2 linked regions of the Mytilus edulis genome follow. The protein of the gene in region 2 purifies or fractionates together with the protein of the main gene of each other region. This does not show direct contact. Links are inferred from orthologs where the notes say so. Each region holds a gene or a part of one and is shown on either strand. Other genes may lie near its edges.

The links. Proteins that work in one complex are often made in the same cells at the same time.
Region 1: the proteins of nudC domain-containing protein 1-like (region 2) and putative pre-mRNA-splicing factor ATP-dependent RNA helicase PRP1 purify together in Homo sapiens (co-immunoprecipitation; 3 studies listed by BioGRID and IntAct, with this or other methods). This does not show direct contact. The link is inferred for Mytilus edulis from reciprocal best matches to the Homo sapiens genes NUDCD1 and DHX15.

Annotation. Positions count from the first base shown.
Region 1 is NC_092347.1:43,276,790-43,284,748, reverse strand, and holds the start of putative pre-mRNA-splicing factor ATP-dependent RNA helicase PRP1, read right to left. Parts: upstream 3,030-7,959; 5' UTR 2,944-3,029; coding exon 2,891-2,943; intron 1-2,890. Other genes in the region: probable ATP-dependent RNA helicase DDX56, read left to right, coding at 3,142-3,210, 4,064-4,225, 4,925-5,005, 5,832-5,905, 6,608-6,778, 7,333-7,423.
Region 2 is NC_092348.1:48,748,286-48,756,481, reverse strand, and holds the start of nudC domain-containing protein 1-like, read right to left. Parts: upstream 3,130-8,196; 5' UTR 3,052-3,129; coding exon 2,940-3,051; intron 1,395-2,939; coding exon 1,243-1,394; intron 28-1,242; coding exon 1-27.

The DNA.
Region 1 (7,959 bases), on a different chromosome or scaffold from region 2:
CTGTTACCAGTAGCTGTTATAATTTATTTTGAATCCAGAAAAAAAACATTAGATCAAAACTGTTTTTTAGCTTAACTAATGCGTATTTTAGGGGTCATTATAAACTTTGCAATATATATTTTGATAAGACAGAAAACACAAAAAGAGGTAATTGTGTATAACTGATTAAGAATTATTGAAATCAATATAAAATCTTCAACATGTTCATTTTTTTTCTCAACAGGACTTGGAAAGTTGTCAAAGACTACTTATAGTTTAAGAAAAATAGACCAAAACACAAAAACTTAACACTGTGCAATGAACTGTGCAATTGAAGTCATGGTCAAATAAAACCTGCGGGACTGACATATAGATCATAATATATTTCCATACACCAAATATAGTTGACCTTTGGCATATAATATTAGATAAAAAGACCAAAACTTAAAAACTTAACTTTGACCACTGAACCATGAAAATGAGGTCAAGGTCAAATGACATCTGCCAGTTGGACATGTACACATACCAGTCCTTCCATACACCAAATATACTAACCCTATTGCTTATAGTATCTGAGATATGGACTTGACCACCCTAACTTAACCTTGTTCACTGATCCATGAAATGAGGTCGAGGTCAAGTGAATACTGTCTGACGGGCATGAGGACCTTGCAAGGTACGCACATACCAAATATAGTTATCCTATTACTTATAATAAGAGAGAATTCAACATTACAAAAATTCTGAACTTTTTTTTCAAGTGGTCACTGAACCATGAAAATGAGGTCAAGGACATTGGACATGTGACTGACGGAAACTTCGTAACATGAGGCATCTATATACAAAGTATGAAGCATCCAAGTCTTTCACCTTCTAAAATGTAAAGCTTTTAAGAAGTTAGCTAACGTCGCCGCCGGATCACTATCCCTATGTCGAGCTTTCTGCAACAAAAGTTGATAGATTATTTAAACAAGAATATTATAAAGAACATTATTTAAGTTTTCATGTGCCAGGAAAATATAAAAGTGCCTTTGCTAAATTTCGATGTGGTGTGGCGCCGATTAGAATTGAAACAGGCAGATATGAAGGGGTTTTAAGTGAAAATAGATTTTGTTTTAATGATTCATGTATGCAACAGAAACTCATTGAAGATGAGAAACATGTTTTACCCAAATGCCCTTTATATTCACAGGCAAGACAAGAGGTTTTTTACTAGAGCAGTTTCTTTTAATATTGATTTTTTAGACTTAAATGATGATGAAAAATTTATATTTTTATTTACAAATGAAAATTTGTGCTTTTATTCTGCCAAAATCTGCCATGATATTTTAATTCAAAGGAAGAATGTTTTATATAGATAAAAAATGTTTTGTATTTTTATCGAGCTGTCCTTTTTTTATGTAAAAGTCTCTCATAACTCTTTTGAGAGTGGCTCTCGAATGTTTTTAAGATTGTTTTGTACTTTTAATTAAAACATGTTGTATATATTGTATTCATGTTTGTAATGTATCATCTCGTATTGTGTTTTCGACCGTCTGACGTTTTCGACCTAATTCTACTTTCACTTTTCGTATGCTGCGCATGCCTGCATGAGGTCATATTCGGCTGCTATACTTAGTAACAATAGCAAATGATACCATGTGGGGTGAAGATTTTTCAAATAAAGTTATTATATTAAGTATTTACGTTTTTTTAGAGGTCTTTTTGCATGCAAAGTTAACTTCAAGGTCATTAAGTCACATGACTGTCAGGTGGTTAGTTTTTATACTTAAAGTTAATTTGAATACAGAAATACGCATGCTCCTTACAGCTTTTTACCAAAAAATAAAATATCAGTTCAATTTTATTTACAGAAAAAACAGTGTCAGTGGAAATGGAAATTACAGACAATACTCACCAACCTCACTTCACAATGGATAAACCAAAGTATTTAAAAAAAACAAGAATGTATACAAGACCATACAAGGCTTCCAAAGTGCCTCATTCTAAAATGTGTACAACTTGTCCAAAAAAGACATCAAAATAATATTTTATATCTTATACATTTTGTACATGTAGTTGTATATTTAACCATTTAATTCTTTAAGTCATAAGTTAGATCGCCTCTAACACTTTGATATAAACTTTGGTATCAAATTTATAACCAATTCCGGATATGTACGAGATGTCGTTTCTGACTTTAGACTCGTTTTTTTATAGATAGGTCAAAAACACAAGACCCTTGTTTTTGTCAACAAAGGTGCCATCGATCTAATGAACTCAAATGAAATTAATTAAAGATCGAAATATATTTCCGATACAATTATTTTATGCACAAGTATACTAGCGACTCTCAAAATATTAGGTATGTCTATGGTCAAACATATAACAGGGAATTCAGAAAAATGTTAGAAGGTCGAAAATACAATACACGAGGATACATGTAGAGAGGTGAGACTATAATAAAATATTTGATTTGATTTTTACAATCATTTCATATAAAATTGTCATTTCATATGTTAATTTCATTATGCATTTATATATGTGACACCTTTAATTAAAGATTAATCACCTATATGTATTTGTTTATTTAAAAAAACACAACACTGGTACAATACTGGAAAACAATACTGGTACAAAGTTTTTATACCAGTATTGTGCACAATACTAGTATACCAGTATTGAGATCACCAACTACAGGAGATCCTAAAAGACTTCAGGGACAGTCCCTCCCTCTGACAAGTACTGAAAAGATTTATGAAGAAAAGGGGGGATAAATTATGTCCGATTCGGCATGCGTTGTGCGCTACTGTGGAAATGTTCAATTAATAGTGTTATAGGTATTCTACAGTTAGAGAAATGAAACAAGACAAATGTGTGTCTTAATAAATTGAATGAGGCAAAGGCTGCCATGACTTTACAGCTGTCATACCTTGTGCGTTTTGGCAAAGAGTCGCCAACGTCGATTCTGTGTCTTTTCGACATTTTGTTGTTACCCTGTATATTGCAGTATGGCAAATGACGTCATTCGGACATTTGATTTTACAACAAAACTCAACGAAAACCCAAGAGAGATAAGAATGACTTTATAGTCACGCTTGAATAAATAAAAGTTCTGTCAGACTTAAGGTAAAGGAAGCACATGTTTTTTGTACTTCCGGTAAAATCAAAACAAGCAAGACGATGTCAGAACCAGATGAGGACAAAACCTTGAATTTCCATGAGATGGGGTTGGATGACAGAATTTTAAAGGTGCACATGATAATAAGCAATAAGGTTATATGTGATATGAAATATTAGATCGCACCTCTATGATTAATTAAAAATTTTATCAAACTTATAATATGTCACTTCAAATTTGTTATAATCACATTCACAGAAGGGTACAGAATGTATATGGGGTAATACAAAATGGTGACCATTGCATTCCCATATTCACAAACCTTATAGAACACTTCACATCAAATAAATCGCTCTTATTTTGGTCATTCTATATGACTGGACATCTCTGTCTTTATTTTAATATTTTGCTTAAAATACTGTGATCTGTTTGAAAATTATGCATTTTTGTAGTGCAACTGACAGGTTCTTGGTGTTTTCTATCTATGCTGTGTGCTACATGTTCATTGAGATACAACAGATTATTTTAACATCACTTGACTAGCTACAGACTCGAAGCTTGACAATGCATCTCTGTGATGTTTGCAATGTTGATGATTTTCATTTATCCAAGAAAATAATTTTTGTCATTTATCACAATGTTTATTTTTAGTTTGAACCCATACCAAAATTAAGCTTATATAAAGACCAATTTATTAGTTTATAATCATGATTATTACTGGAGCTGGTATGTTTGTGAAAAACATTAGTACAATGTATCCTTATTTATAGATAATTTTTCCTCTTTCTATTTTGAAATTATGTACTGTTTGATCTTGGTTTGGCACAAAATTATAAGTGTCTTCAATTCCTGTGCTTATTATGGATTTGTTGTATGAAATCTTTTATGAAGAGTGCACTGTGTAACAGCAGATAGAGTTTGGAGGGATATCCCATTGTTTACCAATAGGTTAGTATTGAATTAATTTATATTTTACGCTTACAGGCAATTGCAAATTTAGGCTGGGCAACACCAACACCAATTCAGGAAAAAGCAATCCCTCTGGCTTTAGAAGGAAAAGACATTTTGGCAAGGGCTAGGACTGGATCTGGTAAAACAGCAGCATTCTCCATTCCTGTGGTTCAAAAAATATTACAGTCTAAACAGGTAATAATAATACTACTAGGGATTATTATTATTTGTTTGATACCAGTTTTCGTGGGTACAGGTTAACCACAAATTAAAATTTTCAACAAGCTTTTTATTTGGTGGTATACAGACTTTGGCAAAACCACGAAATCACATATTTACGAAAAGGCAAGTTTTTCGGCAATCCACGAAAATTGGTACCCACAAAAGTAAATGAATCCACAGTACTTTGAAATCTATGTTTAATCTAACATGTCACATGTTCAAATACAAAGCAAATAAAGCATAACAACTGACTCGAGTTAAATATTTTTGATATACAATGTGATGAAATAAGATATACTCTGATGTTAGTGTGAGTAAAACAATGCATACTAGTACACTGAATATTTTCCATTTTTCTTTGAAATGGAAAATTGTTTTACTCTGAATATGTAGTATGGAACATAATCATTTTGCATTCTCTTGAACTGAGAAATAGATAAAATACTGTATGTAATGTATTTAGAAATATTAATTATTTTCAGTAAAGGTCAATTAATCATCATGTTTTCGTCATTGATAAATTAAACTATATATAACCATATCTGAAGTTTCATAAGGACATCAAACAAATTTCCAAAATGCATTGTGTTGCAAGTATTTTTTTACAGATATGAATACTGTATGTACTACAAATAGTTTTGCAGAAAGTACATTTTCTCAATTTCTCTCTAGACCAGTAAAGAACAGTGTACAAAAGCTCTTTTCCTGACCCCTTCTAAGGAACTATGTCACCAAGCATATAAAAATCTTATGGTACGTATATATTGTATTTAAAGAGTTACTTGTAACATTAGTGTACATACTTATGGTTAGTATATATTGTTTTATACAGTTACATGTAAAATTAGTGTACATGTACATATATAAAAATCTTATGGTTAGTGTACAATTTAACTAATGTGACATTTACATTTATCTCTATAAATACAATGTATACTATACATTGTATTTATAGAGATAAATGTAAATGTCACATTAGTTAAATGTAACATTAGTGTATATGCACATGTGACATTAGTGTACATGTACATGTATCTTGATGATCTCTCTTTAAACCTACTCATAGATAGCACAAAAAATTAACATAAGGTAGATGGTGGGACAAAATTAATCATGTAACAAAAGTCTTTAGAAAAAGAGAGAGGTACATGTATTAAATTACATTTCTACAGTTTTGGTTTCTTGGACATTCTTGATACACCAACATTACAGAGCTTTCTCGCTAATAATCAGAAAATAAGTTGCATGTTATGCATAAGAATATAGTATTGAGGTCATGTATTTATGAAAACATGTATTATGAACTAGTATACATATTTGTTTAGGGGCCAGCTTAAGGACTCCTCTGGAGCAGGAGTTTCTCGCTGTATTGATGACCAATTGGTGGCCTTCGGCTGTTGTCTACTCTATGGTTGGGTTGTTTTCTCTTTGACACATTCCCCATTTCCTTTCTTAATTTTATTATGTCAATTTTGCATTCATATTAGTTTTATTTAAAGTTGGTACATATGAATTTATAGTATTTGGATATAGAAATATTTCATTAGTACATGTATTTGATTTCTACTCTCTGTTTCAGGAATTGACATCATGTTGTTCCAGAGAAATAAAATGTGTTGATGTTTCGCCAAAAGTTCCACTGCTTACACAAAGGTAACATCACAAATGATAGTGATCTTATTGAGTAACAAAAAAAACCATCAGAAAGACAGAAACTAAGTGTACTTTAACCTATAATAGTTTACTATTATAAATTGTTACTTGGATGGAGAGTTGTCTCATTGGCACTCATACCACATGTTCATATATCTATCAAACAGCAACATATATGTAAAGGAAAGGTACACATTAATGAAAACAAGTTGTATATGTTCATTGAACACCATGCCTGGCTGACAAATAAAAATGTTTTATCATGGTTAGAACATCTACAATGTACAAGGTGTTGAATAAGTTACTTCTTTCTCTCTTGTAAAAATAAGAAGATACGAAGATGGCAATCAAAAATCATAAATTGAAAAAGACAAACAACACCACATCCAAAAGTAAAAAGATGTAAAGTCAAACATTAGTCTACAAAATGCTGCACAGGAAACTAAGATTACACTACACAAACCCTACAAAATAGAACAGAGAGTACTCTAGGACTCTGCAAGGTTAAGCAGTTCCCTTACTAGAAAGAGTCATGGTTGGTAGAAACACCAAATGCTGCCAAAAGATTACATGTATTAGCATACATAATGGCAACATTGAACTATTTTATCTGTTGTTTTGCCCACTCTGTTAAGTAATATTGCACAACATATAAACTTATATGCATTTAGAATAATGTAAGATTTATCTATATTTTGACAGACCCAAATTGATGGAGAAACCCGATATAGTTGTTGGTACACCTACACGTATCCTGGCACACATACAGGCTGGTAATCTCAGTATCAAAGACACCTTGGAGATGCTTGTGATAGATGAAGCCGATCTGGTTTTCTCTTTTGGCTATGAGGATGATGTTAAAGCTATCATAAAGTAAATTTTTAGTTATTTGTCTCAAACCCTCATATGCTCTTTGAGGACTTTAATATGTTAGGCCCTTGCATGAGTTATAGCTTACACCAAATATTTGTTTCAGATTTTATTTGTTAAGACAAACTGATGTTTGCCCCTCTCTCTCATAGTTATAAACAACAAGTTACGTAAGGTTTCCTCTATTTTCTTCATCGTCTTTGAATGATATAACATTCTGTTGAGCAGTAATTTTAAGCTTTCTTGTACATTTTGTTTAATGATCTTTAATGATATAGAAAAAAGAGATGTAAAAACTGCAAAATCAAACTCTGATGTATTTCATCACAAGTATCACTATATCAGAGAATAATAAAGGTCTGTTATGGCAACTTCAAATATTATAAGACAAATATTTTCAATAAACTGTGATCGAAATAGCATAACAACATGGGAATAATAATGTTGTTTATGTTTTTGACTGAATAGAACATCATTTTAGAGGAAACTTATACCATTGTAGAAGTCTTAGTAATATAGTCACGATTTTAAATAAAGAAATTGTATTTGTATTTCAGACAACTGCCAAAGATATATCAAGCTTTCCTTATGTCAGCTACGCTCAGTGATGATGTATTAAGTTTGAAGAAATTAGTTCTTCATAATGCAGTAAGTTGTATAATGTAGATATGTAATTTATATTTTTTATGTCAACTTGCTTCTTGCTTCTAACTCTTTGTTTTCTAAGGCATTGGAATATCATTGCTTTCGATTAAATTGTACTCTTTAGTAAAAAAAAAAATTCTCAAATTGTAAGCAAAATTTGTTTTCATATGTAGAATTGCTGTACTTTTTAGTCAAAAAAGGGTTCTCAAATTTATGCAAAACTTGGTTTTATATGTGAATTTGTCCCATAAAAAACAATTTCAATATTTCATGTGCAACTGTTTTCTAACCTTTCTAATATCTTTTCAAGTTCAAGTATAATTATGCTGGCTCTTTGATTGCTATAAAAATGATCTTAAAAACTATAAAATTAATTAAAATAATATATTATAATAAATAAAATGTTATATTTGTCCTAGATAGAATCTCAACATGATTAAAGGGAAAAGTGGGATTTTAAATCGTTGAGACAGAAACATAACAACATTGGCCGACACCAAATATACATTAAGATGTTAGCACATTTCATGATGAACTTG
Region 2 (8,196 bases):
GGATTCAGTCTGGTTCAATTGCATGTCCTAAAACAATAAATGAATTTTTTTTTTGAAAGTGTTTATGCAATTGAATTGGAACAATTATCAAATTTTAATTCAGTTGTATATATTACCATTACAATGAAGCTTTTACTATAAACATAATGTTATATTCAATCATGAAGGTTGTTACTTACTGAAATGTTTAAACCCATAGCATTTGTTTGCACCTGTTAGTAGTCAGAACCTGATGTTCAATGACTGTCGTTTGTTGATATGGTTCATATAAAGTGCTTTTTGTTTCTTGTTTTTATATAGATTAGACTGTTGGTTTTCCCACTTGAACGATTTTACGCTACTCATTTTTGGGCCCTTTATAGCTTGCTTCGACCTATAATCATAATGGTTAACTTTTACAAATTGTGACTTGGATGCCTGGATGGAGAGTTGTCTCATTGGCACTCATACCACATCTTATATCTATGTATCAGGGTTAATTTAAATTACCATAAACCTTCCTAGCAAATTAATAACACCTTCATGTACCACATTAATAATAAGTATGAAGAAGATACATGTATAATGAGTTATTCTTTATTGATAGATTGTTTGCTGATTACTTTATGTAACATAACTGCAAGAAGATTATATCACTATATGGTCACATTTACAATTATTCATTTGACAGAATACTGAATAAGTGCATAAACTTTTCAATATTGGCTTGGTTACATTAAAACATTCTTTTTTCCTGATTGATTCTGAGAGGGGCTTCATCAGTTCCCTTCATCATGTTTATGTCCATACTATAAGAGGTTCAAATTTGCATTAAATAGTGAAAGGTCCAGGACCATTTGAAAGGTCCTCCATAAGAAATTCAGTGTTCCTGTATATCAGAGTAAAGAATTGTAGGTCCTTGACTTGTTATTCAAAAATGAAAAGTCCCCTTCTAGAAAAGACAGGTCTCCAACATTCGACCAACACTAATTTGAACCCCTGATTACATATGTATATATTTAAATCGAAAATTATTGTGTGTATCTATCATCATGATTATAATTGTTATTTTTGAAGAATTGACAAAAATGTTAGATAAGTTATTATGATTTCAAGAAAGCACACTTTCTTTATACTTTCATGGTCCCTTTGAGCCAGATCAAAGTCTCACATGTTCTTATAAACTCCTAAACATTACCCTCAGACTTCTAATTAAAATAATTTGTAATAAAAAAGTTAAAACAAATGTAACCATTTACTTACTGCAATGAAGGCTTTGTTGATGCGCCATAGCTGATCTATATAATATACTGTCTGCTGATTCCAAGGATCTAAAGCTAAATGATTGTGTTGTCCAAGGATCTTAGCATGATGGTAGGAATACTGACCGTCTGTAAGGTCCACCTTCTCTATACCTGGAAGAATTGTTACAAATAATCATTACTCTAATTCTTTTATTTATATCACTCAGAATTTAGTTGAAGAATGCAATAAATCTTATTTTACAGAGAACTGGATGAAACAAAAAAAGACAAGTCTTTTTATTCTTACAGTTAATTTTTACTAGCAGATGCCCACGAAATCATGGTACAAATGAACAAGTGTTAAAAATAGTTTTCACAGCAGTATGTTGACTGAGCATGTGGGAAAAAGTTCAGTCAAGAATCAATAACGGTCTTTGAATTTGGATAAAAATTGGAGTGTTCTGTGGAAAAAAGATTGTGTCAAAGAGCATAATTTGGAAAGTACAAAACAATTCATTTATACGTCTTATCACTTTGTATGGTTTCAGAGAAGTTATGGCTCAATGAAAACAGTCTCTTCCTTTAGTAGTATTTTCAGATTGAACTTGTTTATGTATGCTGACGTCAAGCAACAATTCCATTTTCATTATGATGTCAATCTTTCAGTTTCTTAACCCTCTTGGTGCCGGAGTGACACATGTGTCCACACCAACTGTGCTGGAGGGACACATGTGTCCATGTTTTAATTTATGCAAGCTTCTCATCATTGCTGTACCTCTTTCAAAATAAAAAAACCAAAATTAAAAAGTGTAATATGATTCTACAATGGCTCTAAAATGTAACTGTCATTACAGCATGATGTCATATACAGAATGACGTCATTGTTTGGCATGTCACGTCACAAACGTCGAGCGGTCGTATTTTCCGTCAAATATGAAATGAAACCCTGAAAAACAGCTGGCAACAAGAGGGTTAAAAAATAAATTGTCATGTCAAATTTTACAGGAATGCATGTCGTTTCATACTTGATCAATTTGTAACTAAGTTGATTTGTAAATGAGACAAATTGATTACGGCAATATAAATATTCTCTCAATTTTTCAACAAACTTCAACATATTTTGTTCAAAATACTTAAAATTATATGACTTTTGCATGAAGGAAAAAAAAATGCCCATCAAAAACCAAAAAAGATTTTATCTTTCTTTAACACAAAATGCATTTAACTTTTATATATCTAGTGGGTGCCAGGCATTAAAACTTTTCCAACTTCACAGGTAGGTCTGTACTCAGAGTAATTTTTGGCATGTAAATACAGCCATATTTGTCCGTTTGTTATGATGAACCTTAATTAGAAAAAAATAAAAATCAAGGCGAATGGACCCTGGGCGAACAGGTATAAGGGCGAACAGTAGTCAAAATAATTATGACGTCTGTCAAGGCTAGCGCTGATTTATTTTTTTTCTGGGACTGGGATGTTTCAGGGCGAACGAACCCAGATTCGAACTCACCTACCCCCTTTTCTACTGGGTTGGGATTAGTATAGTAGTATACAAATCCTTGGCGGCTTAAAATGGTATTTCTAATTTTGCTGTGGCGCTTTTCAAAGAGGCTACGTGACGTACGTCGTATATAAGCTTGCTCAGCATGAGCAGGGCTACAAAGTACACTTCACCGATCAAAATGTACTATACAAAAAAATCATCAAGCAATTTACCAATTCCAAATTGAAGGCTGTATGTGGGCAGACTGTCTAACGACAGTTTGTATCCGTCAAATGACGAGTCTAAGAGTTCCCGTTTTATTTGCAAATCAAACTTTTCTGCCATGGCTTATCTGGTATTGAATTTCGCCTTTTTTATACCCATAATAGATAGATAACATTTTTGGGAAACCAGTTTGTACCTAAAACCCATTACATGATCCCGACTACTGCATGTTTTTTTTAATTTCTAACTGTTTTAATTTGCTATGCGTCGGTAAAAAATTGTTATAACAATATCACGAAGAAAATGGTAAAAATGAACATAATATTGCAGTAGTGTCAATATCAAGATGTCGATTTATTTGGAAAGACTAGTATCAAGGAATTGTATATTAAATATACAATTCCTTGCTAGTATTCAGTGCAGCCAGAAACAGGAACTCGTCTTAGAAAAAAATCTTAGTATATACCTTTATATAACACATATAGGAATATTTTTTTCTAACACGAGTGCCTGTGCAGATCTCATCGAAATTTCTATACCGTATTAAACAGTGTGGCATTTTTGCTCTAGCCAAATTTTCAATAAATACTCATTGGATTGCACAACTCCTCCAAAAACGGAAACTCTTTGATAACTCCATCGGATATATCCCTGGAGGTTCTACCTCCTTTTGCGAGTGTTGGTTTTTACTTGCCTTTTTTTATACTCAAGACATATTTAAAATTGATTCAGAGTTTCACTGAATTTTACATCTTTTTCCGTACGCATGTAGGCAAAATTGAGTAAAGTAAAGACCTCCTTTGACAGCCGTAGATCCCACTCTTCTGTCTTCATCTTTTTGCGTAAGCAGTCAACGGAAATATTAGGCACAGTATAAGTTCGAGTTCAGAATGAGTTCTTGTTCATCATTATTGATCCTTCGAAGCACAAGGCCTGATTTATGCTGAAATAATAAACGAAAGACTATTAATATGACAGACAGCAACCAACAACAACTGCAGAGGAACAGACACAAATGTAAAATGTTATAACAATACATTCTATTTAGTTATTTTCTGATAATTAAAAAAAAACGTCAATGTTTCATCGAAAGATTTTACCACAATATTTAAAACGCGGCGAATTCGAAATATCAAAAAGTAAAACATGGATCGTGTCTAATTTTACGGGCTCTACACACTACATATAAACAACATCGTTGTAATAATCAGAATATGTGATATCAAGTGACCTACCGAATTAGACTATTTGCCGGATTTCACGGTTATAACATGAGCAACAAGACGGGTGCCACATGTGGAGCAGGATCTGCTTACCCTCCTGGAGCACATTAGATCATTTCCAGTTTTTGGTTGGATTCGTGTTGCTTATTCTTTAGTTTCATATCTTGTGTCATATGTACTATTGTTTGTCTGTTTGTCTTTTTCTTCATTTTTAGCCATGGCGTTGTCGGTTTATTTCCGATTTATGAGTTTGACTGTCCCTCTTTTTGAATAAAGTTTTAACATGTACAGCAAAAAAGAAGGAAAAAGGAACAACGACAGATATAAAAAGATGTGGTATGGATGCCAATGAGACACTTGTCCATCCAATGATTATGTTTTGTATATACATGTATTTTATACTGAATTACGGAATTACGGAAACAACAAATCTTCTTCATTTATTATATTTTTCAAAAAGGAAAAACACATAAATTTCCAATCGCATACTATATGCTTAATTAAACCTGTATTCTTTGCAACACCAGTCCCATGTTGTAAATCGTGTGTTTTGTTAGGTGATTCTGTTTTTCTGAAAGAACGAATTACGAAAACACAATTATACCAAAAATGTAATGTCTGTTTTTGTTGGAATATCCCTTTAATATCTTTCGTCTCTCTTTTCCAAAAATAGAAAAACATGTATTTTGGCTGTACATAAACCATTATTTTTTTCTCCAGTCAACCACATCTACCTACATTAACATCCCATGTTCACTACAAACTATTCCTTCGCTTTTTATGCCCCACCTACGATAGTAGAGGGGCATTATGTTTTCTGGTCTGTGCGTCCGTTCGTCCGTCCGTCCGTCCGTTCGTCCGTCCGTTCGTTCGTTCGTTCGTTCGTTCGTTCGTTCGTTCGTCCGTCCGTTCGTTCGTTCGTCCGTCTGTCCCGCTTCAGGTTAAAGTTTTTGGTCGAGGTAGTTTTTGATGAAGTTGAAGTCCAATCGACTTCAAACTTGGTACACATGTTCCCTATGATATGATCATTCTAATTTTAATGCCAAATTAGAGATTTTACCCCAATTTCACGGTCCACTGAACATAGAAAATGATAGTGCGAGTGGGGCATTCGTGTACTGAGGACACATTCTTGTTTTATTTATTATTTTTCCGTCCTTTCTATTTCTGTTGTATCGTTTGCTGACCAATATTGTTGTTTTTTCTAAACTGTTCGATATGTATGCATGGTAATAAAACATCAGTCACATTTATGAATTTGTGCCTTTTTTTTTTTTACAAAATTATCATATGATATTGTTTTTCATTTTTTGCAGAGTATTCGATTTCTTCTTTTAAAGGTGAATTGGGGGGGGGGGGGGGGGGATAAAGTTTTAATCATGCTTCTTATCCAAAATGTAATAAAAAGTTTGGTGACCAGACTTTTTTCTCGCTACACTACATGAATTTACACGTGAATTTAATACTACTCTCAAAATTTACACATTTAATGAAATATCTAGACCAATTGTTATCTGTCACTTAAAAATCTAAAAGAAAGGAAGACGTCCTCAATCACCAGCCGACCGTAACGGCAAGGGCTGTACAGCCAGTCAACATCTACCTGTATAAATATTTGTGTGATGAGAAATGTTTTTGAGAAACACTTTTTTAAAGAATAATACTCTGGTACAAGAAACCGAAGGTGTCATAACAGCTGAATATATATGTCATTATACTTCAAAAACATTGACACGTAAGGACGCCACCGGGTGCGGGAGTTTCTGGCTACATTGAAGACCCATTGGTGGCCTTCGGCTGTTGTCTGCTCTATGGCCGGGATGTTGTCGCTTTGACACATTCCCCATTTCCTTTCTCAATTTTATTTGCCCCAACCACTTCTTGCCATGTTTGGCCGAGAAGCAGCACATACCAATTTCAAGTCGTTAGTTTCTGTATACTGTCCCCATATTTGACCAGGCCGAGGTTTGAACCCATATTATCCAGCACTTGAGTCGATCACACAGCGAGCGATATGAAAAAAAACTGTTCTTGCTAGTAACCATATATTAACCACCAAGGCGGTCTGAAAAAATCCTGTTCTTGCTTGTAACCATATATACACCACCGATGCGGTCTGACAAAACCCAATTCTGTTCTTGTTAATAACCAAATATATATATATCTAAAAAAGAGTAGATGTGGTATGATTGCCAATGAGACAACTCTCCACAAGAGACCAAAATGACACAGTAAACTATAGTTCACAGTACGGCCCTCAACAATGAGCAAAGCATATACTGTATAGTCTGCTATAAAAGGCCAAAAAATGCATCCACCAAGGCGGTCTGAAAAACAGAATTTTCTTGCTAGTAACGTTTACCATATAAACAACAAAAAACAATCCTGCTCTTGCTAGTAACCATATTATATAAAAAGTCGATGGGAACATCATCAAATTCTTCAAAGAAGAACCAAGTTATCATCCAGTGTCCAGTTGTTTACAAGTGTTGTTAGGGTAACGCTGTTGTTGACAGAATTGTTACGATGAATTTAACAACTCTCTTGGAGATTATATTAGCCTCCTAAACACAAGTTTTAACATAAACTTTAACAATTGAAAAACTTCAAAGTAAAATATAACGAATTTGAAGAAGGAAAATAATGTATTTTAAACATACAATTAACATATATGGTGATAATTCATATTTAAGATGTACCCTATCAAATGACATGAAATTATAGCAATAAAATACCATAAACAAGATTTGAATTGCAGCAGGCCAAGTTTACGAGCTTATTCCATCTACGCCAGTGACTTACAACCTTACGACTTTTCACAGTGCGCCAGAGGGTTGCATCCTGTTCTGCAAATCACATGTTATATGTCATTTGGTAAGGCACATCATAAATATAATTATCATCGTATATATGCATAATGAACGTCATGTTATGTTTACGAATTATATGTCACACAAAAAGTTATAAATACATAAAAAAAAAGTAAAAAAAAAAAAAACAAGCACAAAAAATCTAACACCCGCATTTTAGTCGTTTATGTGTCTATTCATCCACTTATCCAAGTTTATCTGCTGGACGGATTTGATTGGTGACACAGTTAGTAGTGTTCTTGATGTAAGTGGTAAGTCTGTATTCGACGATAAAACTTCCCCTGGAAGAGTAATTTCTTGCACAATTGAATCTGCTATTGTCATTGAGGTTCGTGTTCCTCTTGCGGCTTTTGGCCTTGCCTTTTTATTTATAGGTAGCACTTCTTCAACTAAAATAGAGGCCGCAGCTCCAATATCATCCTTTGTTTTTTCTAAACTTATTAACTCCAGCTCTTCTTCCTCGTTTTGAAATGCACAGCCTCTACAAATGGATGTGCCTTGTTTTAATTCCATGACTACGTCATTCGGTGAAATATATTCAGTGGAAGGTTCTTCTTTCTTTGATATTACGTAAGTACGGTTACTTACATTGGATGATGATGGCATGGGTGATGGATGAATTGTAATTTTGACCACTCTATTTCCCCTCAATCTTTGCCACTGCGACGAAACGTAATTTCTAAGTCTTGATAAGTTTCTTCTTCTAATGTTCTCTCGACTGCTCCTCTCACATTTTGTACAACATGTACCCATTTTGTGATAATATTAATATTTAGATGATCAAGATATTCAAACAGCTTATTTTGTTTGCAAAACTTTGCAATGCAACGGCTTCCCGAAATGCAACTAAAGACGTTGTCAAGATAAGCATTGTTGCGACACAAGATTGAAAATACACCGATAACGCTTTGACGATGTTTTTTTTATAATTAAACGTCCAGTGGGAAATATTACAACAATGGTGCGTTTGTCTCAATTCGACAAACAGGTCTATGCTATATATGATAGTTGCAAAATATGCATGATCGGAGAATCTGATGATATCTAGCTCTAAACCCTTCTATTTACAACACAAACGAAAAGATGAGGTGTAAAAAATACTGATATAAAATCATAAGGCGCACACGAAAAAAAAACCCCACAAAACTAATAGCCCACTTTATTCTTGTGCA